Oryctolagus cuniculus: one gene and its partners. The protein of the gene in region 1 purifies or fractionates together with the protein of each later gene. This does not show direct contact. Links are inferred from orthologs where the notes say so. Each region holds a gene or a part of one and is shown in the gene's direction. Other genes may lie near its edges.

Region 1 (4,075 bases):
CAGGCGGGTGCAGGGACCAAGGACGTAGCCTATCTTCTACTGCTTTCCCAGGCCACAGCAGAAAGCTGGATTGGAAGAGGAGCAGCTGGGACTAGAACTGGCGCCCATATGGGATGCTGGTGCTTCAGGCCAGGGCTTTAACCCAGTGCACTACAATGCCAGCCCCCTGAGCATTTTTTTTTTTTTGAAGATTTATTTATTTATTTGAAAGGCAGAGTTACACAGAGAGAAGGAGAGACAGAGAGAGAGAGAGGTCTTCCATCTGCTGATTCACTCCCCAATTGGCTGCAACGGCCAGAGCTGTGCTGATCTGAAGCCAGGAGCTTCTTCCGGGTCTCCCATTGTTGGATGCAGGGGTCCGAGGACTTGGTCCATCTTCTACTGCTTTCCTAGGCCATAGCAGAGAGCTGGATGGAAGTAGAGCAGCTGGTACTTGAACCGGCACCTGTATGGGGTGCTAGCACTGCAGGCGGCGGCTTTACCTGCTATGCCACAGTGCCAGTCCGTTGAACTAGCATTTTTAAAAAGATTTATTTATTTATTTGAAGGTCAGAGTGGTAGAAAGAAAGAGGGACAGAAAGAAATCTTCCATCTACTGGTTCACTCCATAAATGGCTGCATCGGCCACGCCTGGACTAGGCTGAAGCCAGGGACCAGGAGCTTCATCTGGGACTCCTTTGTGGGAGGCAGGGGTCCAAGTACTTGGGCCAGCTTCTTTCTCAGGCACATTAGCAGGGAGGAGAAAAAAGAGAGAGAGAGGGAGTGAGGGAGTGGGGGGAGGTTTCATTTGCTGCTTCCCACTCCCCAAATGGCTTCACTAGCTGGGGCTGGGCCAAGCCAAAGCCAAGAGCCAGGAAGTCCATCCTGGTCTCTCATGTGGGTGGCAGCGTCCTAAGCACTTGGATCCTCCTCTGAGGCTTTCCCAGGTGCATTGGCAGGGAGCTGGATCAGGCAGCCCTGGGACACGGGATGTTAGCACTGCAAGTGACTTCAGGCCCTGTGCCACAACGTGAGCCCTTGCAGAAGCCTTCGATCTGTAGCAGCAGAATACTGTGCTGTCATGCGCATTCCCCGTACCTGCTCCAGCACAGCCCTGGGAGAGTGAACTGTGTAAGGATAAATTTCCCTGCTTGTGTCTTTTGTTTCCTTAAATTCTGTAATGAATGCTGTGATATTCTCACTCTTTAAGGTGAGTTGGTTTGCACATTAATTATTTTGTCTTATGCAAAATTTTAAGCATACTTTTTCCCCCCTCAAATAATTGATACTAGAATAAGACAGATCAAGCCCAAAACTTTAAGGAAAGCTACACTCTTTTCCTCCTTCATCCTCGACAGACGTTCTTTGAATACTATTGCCCATCCCCGTCCACTGTTGGAATGCCCTGTTTGGATCAAGTTTACCACATCCACAGCCCTCAGGCCTGCTAGATCCGCATGTTTTATTTGGTCCTGAAGCCTCTGCTTTCCCCATTGCAAGCTGCTCTGGGCAGAGGCCCTGTCTCTCTCTCTACTCCAGTCGTATTCCCGATGGCTGGCAGCTAGGAGTGGTATGGAGGCAGCAGATGCTCAATGTAAGTTGGTTGCAGGCAGCAAATAAGCGAATGACTGGTTAACATAAAAAGTGGATTGGCTGGTTCTGACCTGCTTTCCTGAAGCCCATCATGACCTCCATGTTTTCTTCTGAAGCCATTTTTCACATTTAGAGTTTTGTCCAGGATTGACGTTAAACTGAATGTGGCCCAAATTCCTCCAAACCTGAGTGGAAATGTCCTAGTTATGCTTATTGCATTGCAGATTGTAGACTTGTTAATCAGTTCCCTTTTCCATTTAGGCTATTTTACCCTTCAATATTTATAAGGGCTCTCTCTCTCTCACAATTGTATATTCCATTTTATAAAAGTAAATGCTTTCATTTCTTAAGCAAATCTTACTTAAAAAGTTAGCACAAACTTGTAAAATGTTTTTGTCTTATATTAGTACTTTATTTTGAAGGTGAATAATAGTGTCTGGGATAATTCTGTTCCTACAGCTTTAATTTTTTCAAACCGCAAGAAGTCTGTAATTGCATCCTTCAAATAATTAACTAGCCTATTGATTTATGACATATTGGAGTTATACAAGAATGGTGTGATTATTAAGAAGTGTTATATAATTTAGTATATATGCCAATATCAGCTAATTAATAGTCTTTTACTAACACAGATATGGATATGTGTGTGCCACAAAAATTATGAAACTGAGGAAAATACTTGAAAAAGTTGAGGCTGCATCAGGATTTACCTCTGAAGAAAAAGGTGACTGTCTTTGTTTAAGGTTTATGCATTAAAAATACCTTGAAAGCATATTTGTATGCAAATTATTAGCTGACATGTGTGTCTTTTATTTTAAATTAGAAATTGATTCCTAAGTAATGTATAATTTTCTCCCCTTTTAAAATCAATTCTTGCCTCTTCTAAAAGTGATGAATAATGAACCCCTTAAAGAAGGGGCTAGTTTCTAATACGTGAGTGAGTAGACATAGCTCTGTCTGTAGCAGTGATTCTCTGAGCTGCTGCTCTCTCAGCAATGAAAGCATTTACATTTTCCTACTTACTTTTTCTTATTATAGAAGGAGAATTAAAAAGGCTAACGAGGATAAAGTTTATGCCCAGAGATCAGCGTTTTAATCTCTTCATGGCTTTACTCAGAGATTCAGCTCCTGGCTTTGAACTTGTTAGGAACCTTCTATACCAGCTGTACTGCTTACAGGCTGCATGATTATTTAAATAGAAAGGAAAACAAGGCATAGTACAGATTTTATTCTACATACCCTAAGCCCCCCCAGAGAAATTAAATTATTTTACTATATATAAATCATTATGCTCTTTGAAATGTGAAAAAATGATAATAAAATTGAGGCAATATTTCATTTTTTAGTTTTATTTTTATCATGTTTTTCTGAAAAAGTTCTTTATATCATAGCCTTTAGATGTCCCTTGTATTTCTCCTTTGTCAGGAAAACTTGAAAAGTATGCTTTTAACTGAAAGAATATTTAAGTGAATGGAGCAGAATTTGATATATGAACATGACTTATGAATTTGAAAATTGAATGTGATTTAAAAATTTTACGTGTGACTTATTTGATTTTTTAATTTTCTCCTAGATCCTGAAGAATTCTTAAATATCCTATTTCATCATATTTTAAGGGTAGAACCACTGTTAAAAATAAGGTAACTTTTAGATTGTTACAGAAGCATTGAAAAAAAAAAAAAAGACAGTCTTTGTTTCCAGGGCCATCAGTCAGCAGATGTGCTTTCCTTAGTGGTTATTTACCATTGTATTGGTTTAGGACTGCATGTGTCCTATAAATGCAATGATAAATGCAAAATTATATTAATCATTATGTGCTACAGAGTGCCTCCTTAACTTGAATAAGTCCAATGTAAATTTGTACTTTTAATTTTAACCCTAGTTATAAATATTGCAATTCATTTTCAAATGAAATTGTGTATATATGTAATTTAAATTAATAGGCCCTTTAAGAGAATCTCATTCTAATCTAATCACTATGAGAGCATTGTTTTTTGCCTACCTATCATTCAGAGAATTAATTGAGCCTTAAATTAGCTCTTTTGTTCTCAGCTCTAGAACTCAATCTTTTTTCCCCATGTGTTGAATAAAAACCTTGAGTTTAATGCAGTCATGTTCTTAGTGAGATGTTCTTTTATTTTTTAAAGATTTATTTATTTGAAAGACAAATTAGAGAGAGAGAGAGAGAGAGGTTTTCCATCCACTGGTTCACTCCCCAAATGGCTGCAATGAGAGAGAGAGAGAGAGAGGTTTTCCATCCACTGGTTCACTCCCCAAATGGCTGCAATGCTGGAGTTGGGCTGATCCGAAGCCAGGAGCCAGGAGCTTCTCTGGGTCTCCCATGCTGGTGCAGGGGCCCAAGGACCTGGGCCATCTTCTATTGCTTTCCCAGGCCACAGCAGAGGGCTAGAAAGGAAGTGGAGCAGCTGGGACGACTCCAACTGGCGCCCATATGGGATGCTGGTACTGCAGGCTGGGCTTTACCCTCTATGCCACAGCGCCG
Region 2 (4,641 bases), on another chromosome or scaffold:
CAAGCAGGAAGGAAGCTGAAGGTAACGGGGCCCCCAGTGAGCAGGGAAGCGAAAGAGCCCATCCAGCACCGTGTTAGCCCCACTGCGCAGCCCTAGACACTCAACCTCCCTGCAAAGGAGATGGGAGGTAGAACCATACCGTGCCCGCCCAAACCGAAGTGCTAAGGAAACCAACAGGCAAGGCCATCCAGGAAGTCAAACAAAACAAACTTGCAAAAGCGAAGAAAAGGTGAAGAAAAAAATGGTCTGATCTCAACTATTTCATCACGATTTCTGTGTGCTGGTAAACATGCTCCACGTGTCTGAGTCTGAGTCCGCAGAAGCCAGCCGAGACGGCCCCAGGCTGCAGCCCCCACTGTGCTTTTGAACCGTGTGCATTTAACGGACAGTGTAATGAGTCTAAAATTAATAAAACTGCACATCTGTTGGGAAATCAGGCACCGGTTATCTGTCCCTCCCAGCAGCAGCTGTAACAGAGGCAAACCACACACGATCGAGCCCAGTCTGATTACCCAGATGCGGCGACACGCCGGGGTCAGAGGCTGCTCACTACCACTGCACGTCACGCTGGCCTCCGTCGTGGCCGCGGCCTGTCGGGTGCTGAAGTGAAACCAACCGTTCTCCCCCCGGCCCTGCCTGCGCAGAGCACGCCTGAGTCACATGTAATATCACGTCACTAGTCTAACTGAACAGTGTACAGTGTTTGGAAAAACGGGTTTTACAGGGAAACTGGGACAAGTGACTTCTATGGCTTTCAAAGCTGGGGTAGATGATGCTAAACCAACTCATAAAAAAAAGCAAAAAAAAAAAAAAAACAAAAAAAAACCCCTACGTTAAGAAAGGAGCCAGCGCAGCGTCACCGCGGACCCGGCATGCACACGTGCGGACACGGCGCGGCCAGCACTACGCTTCCCCCAGCTCAGCTTGGACAGACACGGCTCCTCCGGTTACCTCCACATACATTCTTACGGCAGCCATGGCAAGATGTCTCTGTGCTCTCGATCTGCCGCTCGAGCTCCACGGCCCGGACGCCAGGCGCCAGAGCGCTGCGGCACACCCCACAGACAGGCTTCTTCGGCTTCAGACACTCCTGCAGGCATGCAGAGCAAAAGCTAGAACAAGACACACAGAGAGCCTCCGTCATGCATGGCGGGGACAGACGGCACCAGCGTCCACTTGTACAATGGAGCCACGAGTGATGGACTCAAGACAACTTGCTCCCTGCCCTCAGTCAAGCCCCGAGTCCTTCCAGGCCAGAAAAGCTGGGCGTGAGGACAGGGAGCGCGGTGAGGACACACAGGCCCAGCAACGGAAACACGCAAACCGCCGTCACACAAGGCGAAGGTGCGGGGCCAAGGCTTCAGCTGGCAGCCCCTGCCCCGCGCGATCTCACAGGGGTGGGTGGGGGCTTCCTGCACCTCCACCTCCTCCCCTGTGAAATGGCGTGGGGAGGGTGCCCCTCAGGCAGTGTCTAGCACACACAAAATGCAGGATGAATGGAGCTGCTGGCTTTGAGCGTGAGGGCCGGGTGGGGAGGGGGCAGACCACAGAGGCGGCCTGCGCCATCGGCCTTCAAGGGCTCGGCTGGCAGCAGACTCGACTACTCAGGGTGCACCTGCGGGGTGGGAAGCTAGCAGACCCGCGCCAGCAGCAGGAGCAGACTGCGTCTCCCGCGGGACTGGCGCGGCAGGGACCAATCAGATGGCTCCCAGCAGGGGATCCTGAAGGCCGGGGGAGGCGGAGACCCGACTCAGGGAAGGACTCAAAGGCAAGCAGCAGGACTGGGTGGTTCAGGAATTCGGGGACCGAGAGCTACCGGACGCTGGGTGAGGCACCAAGGCAGCTCCTGAGCAGGACACCTGGGCCGCCCACCTGGCCGCACGGACCCAGGACCACGAGATCCAGCAGGGAGGGCCCAGGGCGCATCACCAGAGGCGACCAGCGCACCTGCCAGGCTCATTCTTCTTTAACTAAGAACACCTTCCTCTGCCATTAAGCTCGACGCTAGTGCTGCTGGGGACGGTCAGGCCGGGCTGCCAGGTGAGAGGGCTCGGCTCAGCCCGAGGGAGAGGACAGAGAAAGCCCATTCTCACGGGGCCTGCGTAAGGTGGAGGAACACAACTGTTCACTGATGCAGTGAGGAAGTCTAGGCAGGGAATGAGACAAGCCAGAGCGCGCCTGGGGGACCACCGGAAGCTCTCTGAGGCCACATTTGGGCCGGGGCCTGGCTAAGAGGGGTCGCTCGCTGATTGCAGGCAGAGGTGACACCAACCAGAGGCGCGGCAGGAGGGGCAGGCGCCCGACCCTGCTGACAGAGGCAGAGCCCAGGAGCCCCCAACGCAGAGGGTCCCACAGCACCGAGACCAAGGCCCGCGGGCAAGCACCAGGGAGGCACCGCCCCTGTTCCCCTCAAGTCACCAGCGCCGAGGGACACCCAGCAAGCAGCAGGGGTCCCAGGCTGGTTTCAGTTTCTATTTCCTCCTCACCGGCCTCCCTCTGGCTCAGCCTTCCAGATGCTCCGCCCCTTCTGCCAGGCACTCGGCCACCTGCCCCTCTCCGCGAGAGCCCAGCGGACCGGGAGGGTGCTGTCCTCCGGAACTTTGAGATGAAGTCTTACAAACCCCAGTGCCCAGCCAGAGCCACGGTGGTGCTCAAGTCTCCAGCGACCCGTTAAAACCCAGCGAGGCCAGGACACAGCTCTCGGCTGGGGCTCAGGGAGACGCGCTGCGCCCCACGGCGCTCCCACCTGCCGTCCATCAGCACGGAACTGCTGGACACGTGCAGCCTGCACGGCCGGGAGGAGAAGCGAGCCGCGGCCTGAACCCCAGTGCCGCTGCGGCCCCCACCCAGGAGAGGGCCGGCGGCTCGACGCTGGGCCAAGGCTTCCGAAAGCTGTTAAGTGAATGGACCCCGCGGGATGGACACGAAGCTGGGTGGCCCTGCGCCGAGGTGCGCAGGCTCAGAGCAGGCGGCCGAGCTCCACTTCCACGCCGGGGACCCACTCCTCAGCCCGCCCCTTCCGCGGTCACGCGGCTCCTCGAGGCTGCGGCCCTGCACAGGAGGTCTCCAGCCGGGGCGGCACCACCTCTCCCCAGCTCAGCCGAGCGCAGACGCCGAGGGCGGCCATCTCCCGAGACCCCGAGGGAGGGGAGGGATGGCCACGGTGATAGCGCAGGGACCCGAGATCCGAGGGCAGAGGCGGGAGGCGCACGGGGCAGGAGTCCGGTTCCAGGCTGGCCAAAGGGCGCAGCAAGCAGCCGGCCTGGCCGCAGAGCCTCTGCCGGGTGCCCGGCGTCGACTACCCTGTAAAATGGCTGCCAGCCCCCGCCCCTGCACAGGTGCCCCCTGCAGACGACCGCCTGTGAGTGCCTACAGGTGCGCTCGCCGCCGACCAACAGAGGATCCCCGGGCCCCCGCCAAGGCGGCGGCCGTGCCTAGCACAGGGAGCCCACAGAGGAACAAGGCCTTGCGGGGAAGCACGACGCAGGTGAACCCGTTCGCCTACAGGTTTGCTTGTTTTGTTTTGTTCTTCTCTTCCCCTAGTTTTAGGAGCGTCTGTCGGAGCGAGGCCCCCGCGCGGCCCCCGCTCCCGGGCCAGCCCCCCACTCCGAGAAGCACAGCCCGGCGCGCCCCGAGCGGACTTCCCTTTCATTATTTCCCCCTCCTTCGGCGTTTCCCCATTTTCAGTGCGCAACGCCAGCCCCGACGCCCAGAGCCCTAGCCCCGAGGCGCATTCTGGCTCTCCCAGGGCGGACCTCGGCCCCTGCCCGGCGCCTCACGGGCCGCCCGGGGGCAGTCGGCTGTGCCGGCCCCGCCAGCTGCCACCCCCCAGGCCCGTCCTTGCGCCTCCGCCCCGGAGACCCTCCCCGTAGGGGCCTCGCTCCCCGGCTCCGCTCCCCTCCCAGCCGGGCGCCCTGCGGCCGGGCGCGAGCTTGCTGCTTACACGTGTCCGCAGGGCACCTGCACCGGCTTCTCGTACACCTCTAAGCACACGGGACAGGTGAAGCGGCCCAAGGGGTCGGCCTCCGCCGCTGCCGCGGCCAGCGGAGCGCCGCCCTCACGACCCTGCTGCTGCGCCGCCATCTTGCCGCCGCTCAGCTCCGCGCAAGGGCGGTCGGGAAGGAGGCGCTCGGCGAGGGGGCGGGTCCTCGGCGGCGACCGAGCACGCGCGTGGGGGCGGGGCGGAGCGTGCGGCGTGCGCCGGTAGGGGCGGGGCTTGTAGGTCGTGCGTGCGCACGCTGGGGGCGGGCTAGTGGCGGGCCACGCCCCCCGGACGCCGTACGGAGCTGGGGAGGGAAGTCTGGGAGGTGCGGACCCCGAAGGCGGCGGCTGCCGGTCGCGGCCGGTTTTCCAAGCTGAAAATGTTAGCTTCGCGCTAGCTGCGCTGTGATTTCATGCTTCTCTTCGAATCAACTCCATTCGATTCATATAAGCCTAACCGACATTTTAAAAATATATTTTCATTTTATTGCAAAGGCAGAGACTAGATGGGCAGCGGAGGAGCTGGGACTCGAACCGAGCACTCTGATAGGGACCGCGGCGTCCCAGGCGGCAACCTCACTGCCATGCCGAGTGCCACCCGAGCTTCAGTACGTCGTAAAGGGGAGTTGATGTCTCTCCTGAGCTGCAGCTGTCAAATCA
Region 3 (4,638 bases), on another chromosome or scaffold:
TGGTGTCCATACAGGATGCTGTCAGTACAGGTGGAAGCTTTACCCACTACACCAATGCCGGCCCCCAAACAATTCACTTTGAAAAGCACCCAACAACAAAAAAGAGATGTATGGATGAATAACGTGACAAATAAATGATGGAGCAAGAATAATAAAATGTAAAAGGTGGACTCCTAAACTGTAGGTATAGGAAACTGATCTTACATTCTAAGGAAAGGGAGGACTGAGAAAAGCTATTCATTTGTCCAGAATAAATTACAAACATTTCCTGAGTCCCCATCTGGCAGAATCCATTATACTAAGACTAAAGCATTGAAGAGCCAAAGTGACTCCATTTTAAAACAATAAAAAAAGCAGCCTCCATTTCCCATAGCAGACCCGGGTCCTTGTAAAAGCAGGCATTCAGGCATTCCGGAGATATCAAAGCTTACCAGGGACAGCTAGCTCGGTAGACCTAGGAGAGCGCAGTAGAGATTGCTAAACAAAGTAACTCCCTGTACCCAAAGCTCCGTGCTGTAAGCCCCCGCTGATGCAACTCTGTTTTTCCTGCTGATGTAACACCCCCTTTTTTTTTTTTTCCTTTAAAAACTCTCCCAAAGACCGGGGCCTCACTCCTTCCTCTGCTGTGCTGGTTGGTTGGATAGGGTCCCTGTCGCGGCTTGTACTCCCGAATAAACCTTGCTTTTTGCAGCTCGGTGTGATCGACTCTCTGGGGGTCTCTGCCGGGATCTAACGATCTGGGTACAATAGCATTAAAGAGAAATCCGATATATGGACCCATTCAGTCATAGCACAAGAGTTGGCTCCTGGTGTGGAAATGCAAGGGAAACAACAGTTGATGATCTCTACTGATCTAATCTGCTCTTGTTTGGTTACTAGTGCTCTGCACAGCATTCCACATGTTCTCATTTTTCACATTGACAACTGAGTAGGTGACGGGATCCTTCACTGAGATAGGAACGGCACACAAAGGAACAGATTTGTGGTGACAGTCTTTGAACTTGCTTTTGGCATTCTGAAGTTTCGGTGTTCACGTTATATCTAAACAGAAATGTCCAGAATTCAGGAGACATCTGCTGCCTTCCAAACACAACACAGAGGAAAGCACATTTTACAGGGTTTCTGAAAAAAATAGCTCATTTTAGTTTAGTACTCAACATGAAAAGTAAGCTTCATCACAAAAACACAGCTCAACACCACCTTGTCCGTATGGAGGCCGCTCAGAGAAGAAGAAAGGGAGGAACGACATAGTTCACCAAGCAGACATCAAACCGCAGCTTTTTGTCTTTCCCGCTGGTTCTTAAGCGACCAACCACGCCGATTTTTCGGTCATATTCCACGCCACTTCCGCTCGCGCACTTTAATTACGTCAGGCCGTCAGATATCGCGGTATCATCCTTTTGCTGAGGCCATTTAACAAAGATCTCGCGAAATTTGTTCTACATGTTCTAGCGAGCCTCTTACCCTCCTCCACCCCACCCCTAGTCTGTCCCTCCTTTCTCTTTCCAAGTCACAAAACCCTCTTCTTCCCTCTTTCGGGCTCGCGGCTCCCCTGTTTCCGATTTCGGACCGGAACCGGAAGTGCAGTGGGCGGGCCCGGCAGCGGAAAGCGCAGCGGCGCCGGAGCCGGGACACGGCTGTGGCTGCAGCCCCCACCCCGGCCACGGATCGCTGGGTGGCAGGGCTGCGCGGCTCCAAGCTGAAGGTCGGTCCGGAGGAGGGTGGGCGCGAGCCTCACCTGGATTGTCCCGGCGGCACTGTCCTCGGGCCCCCCGGGCGCCGCGAGGGATCATGTCTACAGCCTCTGCCGCCTCCTCCTCCTCTTCGTCTTCGACCAGTGAGATGATCGAAGCCCCTACCCAGGTCCTTAACTTTGAGGAGATCGACTACAAGGAGATCGAGGTGGAAGAGGTGAGCAAGCCCCAGCACGGAGACAGTCGTCCTGGGCGGTCCCTGCCTCTGCCTGGTCCTGGCTCCGAAGGGGCCCGGCGGGGTCCACCCAGGAGTGCCCCCAGCCCTTCAGAGACGGGGTGTGGAGGAGGCGCGACTGCTCCCGCTAGCTGTCTCTTTTTTTTCTTTACCCCGACACTCTTCATGAGTGTGGATCAGATAGTCTGGTGCCTGGATTTGGGTCACCTCAAACAGAATGAACTGTGCGGTAGTGTGACCCGCCAGTTCTCATACCTGTAAGTAAATTCCGTGAAGACTGGCGGTTTTGGAGTTCGCTAGACGCGAAGGGCCAACGATGGTATTATGTTCGGTTTCCAGCTCAGTGCCTGGGGCGTAAGGGATGCTCAGTAAATGCTTGCCAAGTTACTAGGTCATCAATTCTAATAAAATGTTCTCCCTTAGTACCGAATGACTCTGTTTTTCCGATATCATAGAGCAGCACTCGCAGTATTCAGTGTCTAGCTGTTTTAGATGAATTTCACCCGTGGTAACGCCGACTGGTCTACGATGAAAAGAAGTTTCAAGTAGCATATTCTGAAAAGATAACTGTTGGTTTTGCTGATAACCAGCTGCTTTCCTATCCAGTTATCCATCGTATCTATCATTTCTGGTGACAGCCAGAATGTCGCCGAATTTCTCTGTCTGGAACCCATTCTGTGTTCTGCAGTAATTTATTACAGATCAAAGTATCTGTGCTTTTCATACATTTCTCCTTTTCTAGTTCATAAAGGGGTAGATTGGTTCTAAGGACCATAAAATTTAGAAAAGTAAAAACTGAATATGCATTTTAAAGACACACTGTGGAACTTGTTAAATTTTTAGTTGGGGATAGTATCTGTCAAACAGTTGCTATTTTTCGCTATAAAATTTATTAAGCACTTTGCTCTACCTGTACCATTAAGAACCTTGTTAAATCCTGGTGAAACATAATAGACTCTCAAAGAGCTGTCTCTATTTTAAAAATATAAAATTGCATTTACATGACAGCCAGTTAAAAGTAGTGAGTTAATGAACATTCAATGCTTTTTTCTTTTTCTATCTTCCTTTCTTCCTTTCTTTTTAGTTTTAGAAAGGTTCAGTATATCCGATATACCACATTCTAGCTGTGTAATTTGGGAGCAAGTTTCTTAACTCCTTTGAGCTTTCAATTCCATAAGTGTAAAATAGAGATAATAATATTCTATTTTATTTTATCCATATAACAGATCCTATTAAACAATATATGCAAAACACCCAACAATGCCTGACACATATTATTAGGAAACTTAATTCCAGACTGGAGCAATGACCTGCTTTAAGGTCACATAGCTAACTAAAAGAAGACCTGTATTTTGAAGAGGAAAAATTTTTTTTTTCTTTTCCTATTGAGGCTATGATAAATTCCTTTTTCAGAAGTGGATAGTTGATTCAGCTTTAATGGCTAACATTCTTTTTTAAGAATAAAAATGGAATGAGTCAGTCTACAAGAATTGCAGTTTTTAAATAAGCATTTACGTCTACTCTGTGGTGAACTGCTATGCTGGTAGACAAGAAATTATTATATAATAATAACTTGTACTCCGTGGTCTACCTCACAAAATTACTTGACTCTCACAACCTTAGTTTTTACAAACTGCTTTCTAAAGCTTTTTGGATTCTTGCTTCATGGAAGAATGCAAGTTATTAAGGAGACATTTGCCATTTTGATATTCTTCCCTCAAAGCCTTTTCACTTCTGGTTAGCTTTTTATGTTTCCAAGACCCTTCTTTCAGATATGTTTCAACTTTGAGGGGAGGATATTCCTAAGGAGTAGATTTTTGTTTTCAGATGAGAATTTCTTTCTAATATTAGGCATTTAGGGGTTTTTGTTTTGGTTTTCATTTTTATATATCCGATTTGTTTTCCCTTTAAATCCTGAATTTACACCTTTCTGATTTTGAAAAACCACTACATAATTTCCATCATACTCTTCCTTTGCATACTATATAATCAAGAGCACTCAGCAACTATTTCTCAGTCTTCTAGATTAAATCATAAAAAGTGAACAGAGAAGGATGACCAGAAACAAAAATTATTTTATATTGCTTTCAATTTATAGAAGTACATTGTCTTTTAAATTAAGACCATATGCTATATTTATATATAGTCAAATAACAAGAATAATTATATCAATATATTGTAGCAATATAACTAGAAAGTATCTTTTTTTGTTTTCTGTTAGGTTTATTTATTTATTTATTTGAAAGGCAGTGTTAGAAAGATCGTCCATCTTCTGGTTCACTCCCTAAATGGCCCTCTAGGTCTCCCACATGGGTGCAGGGGCTCAAGCACTTGAGCCATCTTCTGCTGCTTTTCAAGGCACAGGAGCAAGGAGCTTAATGGAGAGTGAAGCAACTGAGGCTTAACCCTGTACTTCAGCAAGGGATACTGGGGTGACAGGCAGCAGATTAACCTTCTGCACCACAATGCCGGCCCACAGAAACTGTTTTAAAAAGAAATCCCAACCGGAGGCCAAATAGGCAATTATTTAGTAGATATAATGTCTAAAACATCCGCTGCTTTTAATCTTTGGGTTCTTAATAGTGTGACTCAGTAATATTCATTTGGTACTCTTTAAAAATGTATTTTCATTTTCATTGAAAAATCGAAAGACAGTGAAAGGTATTCCATCTGCTGGTTCACTCGCCAGCGATATGCAACCACAAGGGC
Region 4 (4,730 bases), about 35 Mb from region 1:
ATCCTACAAATCAGCAAGAACTGAAGACCCCACGTAGGAAGACAGCCAGGCCACAGGTGGTCTGCGGAGACGGTAAGAACAAACCCAAGAGAGGCTGAGATGACAGCGGAAACCAAGAGATTTGAATTAAAACAAGACACAACCTCAGACCCATCAGACTGGTGACACTGGACACACGGTGTGGGGATGTGTGCGGTGGTGGGGGCAGGAACCAGCAGGCAGTCCTGGGCCAAGGCAGGGACCAATGGCCTCAGACCTAGCGATGGCCTCCACCTTCTGAGGGCGTTGGAAACTGTGTGGACCGAGGTCCAACAGCAGGATGTGTGTGCAAACGGGGGGCGGGGGGATGTCGGCCCTAGGAGAGCCGAGAAGGAAACTGAACACAGATGACCCAGGCCTCAACACTGGCTATCACACAGCTGTCACTGTGTGGCTGGGCTCCAGCTGGGGCAGCCTGCAGATGGCCAGGCCCAGCTGTCGATCTGACACTGCAGCCTGACCCCGGCTGTCAGTGTCACTTACCCAGCACTAAATAAATGGAGTACACAGAATATGTGAGTATCCTGAGACGCCCCCTAACAAAGTATCACAAAATGTGTGGCTTAAAACAAGTTCAGAATCTCAAGAGCTTTGCGAGGCAGAAATGTGAGCCGAGCGCCCACAGGCTGCACCGGTCTGAGGCCCAGAAGGCCCCTCCCTCGCCTGCATCTGCCCTGGGAGCTTCCGAAAACCCACGCAGTCCTTGGCTCCGAGCTGCATCGCTCTGGTCTGCCCCTTCCCTGTGCATCTGTGTCCATTTTTCTATTTGCTTGTTAAAGATTCCTTATTTATTTGAAGGACAGAGGGACTGAGATCTTCTATCCACTGGTTCACTCACCAAATGGCCACAACAGGTCAGAACCAGGCCAAAGCCAAGAGCCAGGAACTCCAGCTCGGTCTCCCAGGTGGCGGGCCCACCAGACGCGCAGGCAGGAAGACGAGTGGGAGGCGGAGCAGCCAGGATCTGGAGCGGCGCTCCCGGAGCCCAGGACACCGGCCCCTCGATTTCTGCTGAAAACGTTCACTTCCTTATTTGAATTTACTTGCGAGCAGACAGAAACGGCTCCCCTTTGTTGGCCTGCCCCCAAACGCCAGTAACAGGATCCCAAAAGTCTAGGCGGTTTCCCACGTGGGCGGCGGGCAGAATGCGGCACCGCGGGCTCCCGGGCGTGCACTGCAGGAAGCGGAGCCGGGCCCCCGCCTCTCGGGCTGTCTTCACGGGCTCACGCCGCCGAGCTGCCCGTCCGCGGCAGCCCCGAAGTCTCCCCGGCGGCGAATCCTGCCGGGCGCAAGTTCCGAGAGCAAACCCGCTTTCCCTCGGGACGGCCCTCGGTCCCGGCGCTCGCGCCTGGGCGGCCCGGGAGGGGCCCAGGGGACTCTCAGGAGCCCGCCTCGCGTTATCCTGGGCCGGGGAGGTCAGTCCCGGCCGCGCGCTGAGGCCGGTGCTCCTGGACGCCGCTCTCCTCAGCCGGCCCCGGACGGCCCGAGTGGCCCGCGTGTACCCGAGAGGCGGAGACGGACCTGCCGCCCGCTGGCGCACTCCCCAGGTGCCCGCGACCCACGCCGGGAGCCGCACACGCCGCCCCGGCTCCGGAGTTCGAGAATGGCGCCCGCCCCGAGCGCCGCGGCCCCGCCCCCCAACAGCCGGCCAATCCCCGCCCTCCGAGGAGGCTGCACGTGACGCCCTCCCGCCCCTCGACGTCACGGCCTGTGGGCGGAGCCGCGTCCCGCGGAAGCGCGTGCCGAGGAGGAGGCCGGCGCACAGAGGTGGCGGCTGCCGGACCCCGGGGACAGACAGGTAGTGCTTTCGGCCGTGGGATCCAGAGCCCGAGGTCGTGGGCGGAGGAGGAGGCTCAGAAGGCGCGAGCGGGTCTTCGAGGAAGGGGACAGCCGTAGACACCTGGGCGCTCAGCGGCCAGGGCCTGGATCTCCCGGCGGGGCTGGGCTGAGGGTGCGGGGGGCGCTGAGCGGGCGGATGCTGGCTCCCCCGGCGGGGCTGGGTGGACTGTGGGTGCTCAGCAGGCCGATGCTGGCTCCCCCGGCGGGGCTGGGTGGGCAGGGGGCGCTGAGCCGGCGGAGGCTGGCTCCTCTGGCGGGGGGTGGGCAGGGGGCGCTGAGCGGGCGGAGGCTGGCTCCTCCGGTGGGGCTGGGTGGGCAGGGGGCGCTGAGGGGGCAGATGCTGGCTCCTCTGGCGAGGGGTGGGTGGGCAGGGGGCGCTGAGGGGGCGGATGCTGGCTCCTCTGGCGGGGCTGGGTGGGCAGGGGGCGCTCAGCGGGCGGATGCTGGCTCCTCTGGCGGGGCTGGGTGGGCAGGGGGCGCTCAGCGGGCGGATGCTGGCTCCTCTGGCGAGGGGTGGGCAGGGGGCGCTCAGCGGGCGGATGCTGGCTCCTCTGGCGGGGCTGGGTGGGCAGGGGGCGCTCAGCGGGCGGATGCTGGCTCCTCTGGTGGGGCTGGGTGGGCAGGGGGCGCTCAGCGGGCGGATGCTGGCTCCTCTGGCGAGGGGTGGGCAGGGGGCGCTGAGCGGGCGGATGCTGGCTCCTCTGGCGGGGCTGGGTGGGCAGGGGGCGCTGAGCCGGCGGAGGCTGGCTCCTCTGGCGGGGGGTGGGCAGGGGGCGCTCAGCGGGCAGAGGCTGGCTCCTCTGGCGGGGGGTGGGCTGGGGGCGCTGAGCCGGCGGATGCTGGCTCCTCTGGCGGGGGGTGGGCTGGGGGCGCTGAGCCGGCGGAGGCTGGCTCCTCTGGCGGGGCTGGGTGGGCAGGGGGCGCTGAGCCGGCGGAGGCTGGCTCCTCTGGCGGGGGGTGGGTGGGCTGGGGGCACTGAGCCGGCGGAGGCTGGCTCCTCTGGCGGGGCTGGGTGGGCAGGGGGCGCTGAGCCGGCGGAGGCTGGCTCCTCTGGCGGGGGGTGGGTGGGCTGGGGGCGCTGAGCCGGCGGAGGCTGGCTCCCCCGGCGGGGCTGGGTGGGCAGGGGGCGCTGAGCGGGCAGATGCTGGCTCCTCTGGCGGGGGGGTGGGCAGGGGGCGCTCAGCGGGCGGATGCTGGCTCCCCCGGCGGGGCTGGGTGGGCTGGGGGCGCTGAGCCGGCGGGGCGCGGCCTCACACCGCGCTCCCGCCGGCAGGATGGGCAGCAGCTCGCTGTCCGAGGACTACCGCCTGTGCCTGGAGCGCGAGCTGCGGCGCGGCCGCGCGGGCGTGTGCGGGGATCCCTCGCTGCGCGCCGTGCTCTGGCACATCCTGGTCGAGGACTTCGACCTGCACGGGGCGCTGCAGGACGACGCGCTGGCGCTGCTCACCGACGGGCTGTGGGGCCGCGCCGACCTGGCGCCCGCGCTGCACGGCCTGGCCCGAGCCTTCGAGCTGCTGGAGCTGGCCGCCGTGCACCTGTACCTGCTGCCCTGGAGGAAGGAGTTCACCACCATCAAGGTGGGACTGGGTTTCAGGTGTCTGCAGGGTGCTCAGCCCACGGAGGGACCTCGGGGGCGCCCTGAGGTCTGCCTGGGCAGTCCCGGGGCTGAGAATGTGGGTGCTCGCCTGCTTTTATCGCTGTCCTCCCTAAGGGGACCTCGGGGCATAGTTGCCATGGAAACTCTAGGACAAGTTCAGAGGTGTGTGTGTAGAGGGGAGACTTAAGGTCCCTGAGTGGTCCTAATTCCACCAGGACGTGGGCTGACCACTTCCATAGAGGAGGCTGAGGCCGGCCCCCTGCGAAACGGGAGAGTGCTGGCCACCGGTTCCGAGGCTGCGGACAGCGGGGCCTGGCCACTCTAAGCGCGCTGCTGGCCAGCAGGCGGGGGCGAGGCTGCTGGCGCTCAGAGCTAACTGGGAAGAGTAGGAAGGCGGTGACGTCACTGCACGTGGGCAACATACGCCCCCGCGGGTTGCCATGGCAGCCGAGCCACCGCTCTATCAGGACACCTGCTGGCACGGGGTTCTAGGACTTTGATTCCTCCATTCACACAGGAAAGGAGGGGCCTGCCGCCCCTGGGGTCAAGCACAGAACGGACCCCTGTCCTAGAGGCGTCAACGCCAGGAGCAGCTGGCTTCCGGCCGCTCCTGGTGTGCGGCTGTGGACCAGTACCTGATCTTCCTGAACGTGTTTCACTCCTGGGAAAGAGACAGAGTCGTGCACTGAGGCACGCTGCGGAAGCACGGCGGGAGGACTGCAGGTGCCCCCGGGTCACGGCCCAGCCCCCTGACTGTCCTAGCAGCCTTTAGCTCTACACACACCTGTGTGGTCTGGAGCGCACCCTGCCACCTGTGACACACGCACACAGAGCTCACCCTTCCACCTGTGACACACACACACACCGAGCACACCCTGCCACCCGTCTCACAGAGAACACACTGCCACCTGTCACACAGCGCACCCTGCCACCCGTCTAACACACAGAGCACACCCTGCCACCCGTCACACACACAGAGCACACCCTGCCACCCGTCTCACAGAGAACACACTGCCACCTGTCACACAGCGCACCCTGCCACCTGTCTAACACACACACAGAGCACACCCTGCCACCCGTCACACACACAGAGCACACCCTGCCACCCGTCTCACAGAGAACACCCTGCCACCCGTCACACACACAGAGCACACCCTGCCACCCGTCTCACAGAGAACACCCTGCCACCCGTCACACACACACACAGAACACACCCTGCCACCCGTCACACACACACAGAACACACCCTGCCACC

The links.
Region 2: the proteins of CYLD (region 1) and SPATA2 purify together in Homo sapiens (affinity purification with western blotting; 10 studies listed by BioGRID and IntAct, with this or other methods). This does not show direct contact. The link is inferred for Oryctolagus cuniculus from reciprocal best matches to the Homo sapiens genes CYLD and SPATA2.
Region 3: the proteins of CYLD (region 1) and MAP3K7 purify together in Homo sapiens (affinity purification with western blotting; 4 studies listed by BioGRID, with this or other methods). This does not show direct contact. The link is inferred for Oryctolagus cuniculus from reciprocal best matches to the Homo sapiens genes CYLD and MAP3K7.
Region 4: the proteins of CYLD (region 1) and SPATA2L purify together in Homo sapiens (affinity purification with mass spectrometry; 3 studies listed by BioGRID and IntAct, with this or other methods). This does not show direct contact. The link is inferred for Oryctolagus cuniculus from reciprocal best matches to the Homo sapiens genes CYLD and SPATA2L.

Annotation. Positions count from the first base shown.
Region 1 is NC_091449.1:34,338,653-34,342,727, forward strand, and holds part of CYLD (ubiquitin carboxyl-terminal hydrolase CYLD), read left to right. Parts: intron 1-2,204; coding exon 2,205-2,296; intron 2,297-3,145; coding exon 3,146-3,212; intron 3,213-4,075. UniProt on the Homo sapiens protein: Deubiquitinase that specifically cleaves 'Lys-63'- and linear 'Met-1'-linked polyubiquitin chains and is involved in NF-kappa-B activation and TNF-alpha-induced necroptosis.
Region 2 is NC_091442.1:10,692,540-10,697,180, forward strand, and holds the start of SPATA2 (spermatogenesis-associated protein 2), read left to right. Parts: upstream 1-1,677; 5' UTR 1,678-2,917; coding exon 2,918-3,507; intron 3,508-3,943; coding exon of another isoform or gene 3,944-4,083; exon of another isoform or gene 4,084-4,124; intron 4,125-4,641. Other genes in the region: E3 ubiquitin-protein ligase RNF114, read right to left, coding at 962-1,112, 3,944-4,083.
Region 3 is NC_091436.1:81,894,022-81,898,659, forward strand, and holds the start of MAP3K7 (mitogen-activated protein kinase kinase kinase 7), read left to right. Parts: upstream 1-1,379; 5' UTR 1,380-1,791; coding exon 1,792-1,911; intron 1,912-4,638. UniProt on the Homo sapiens protein: Serine/threonine kinase which acts as an essential component of the MAP kinase signal transduction pathway. Plays an important role in the cascades of cellular responses evoked by changes in the environment.
Region 4 is NC_091449.1:69,310,532-69,315,261, reverse strand, and holds the start of SPATA2L (spermatogenesis-associated protein 2-like protein), read left to right. Parts: upstream 1-1,691; 5' UTR 1,692-1,837; intron 1,838-3,151; 5' UTR 3,152-3,152; coding exon 3,153-3,455; intron 3,456-4,204; exon of another isoform or gene 4,205-4,730.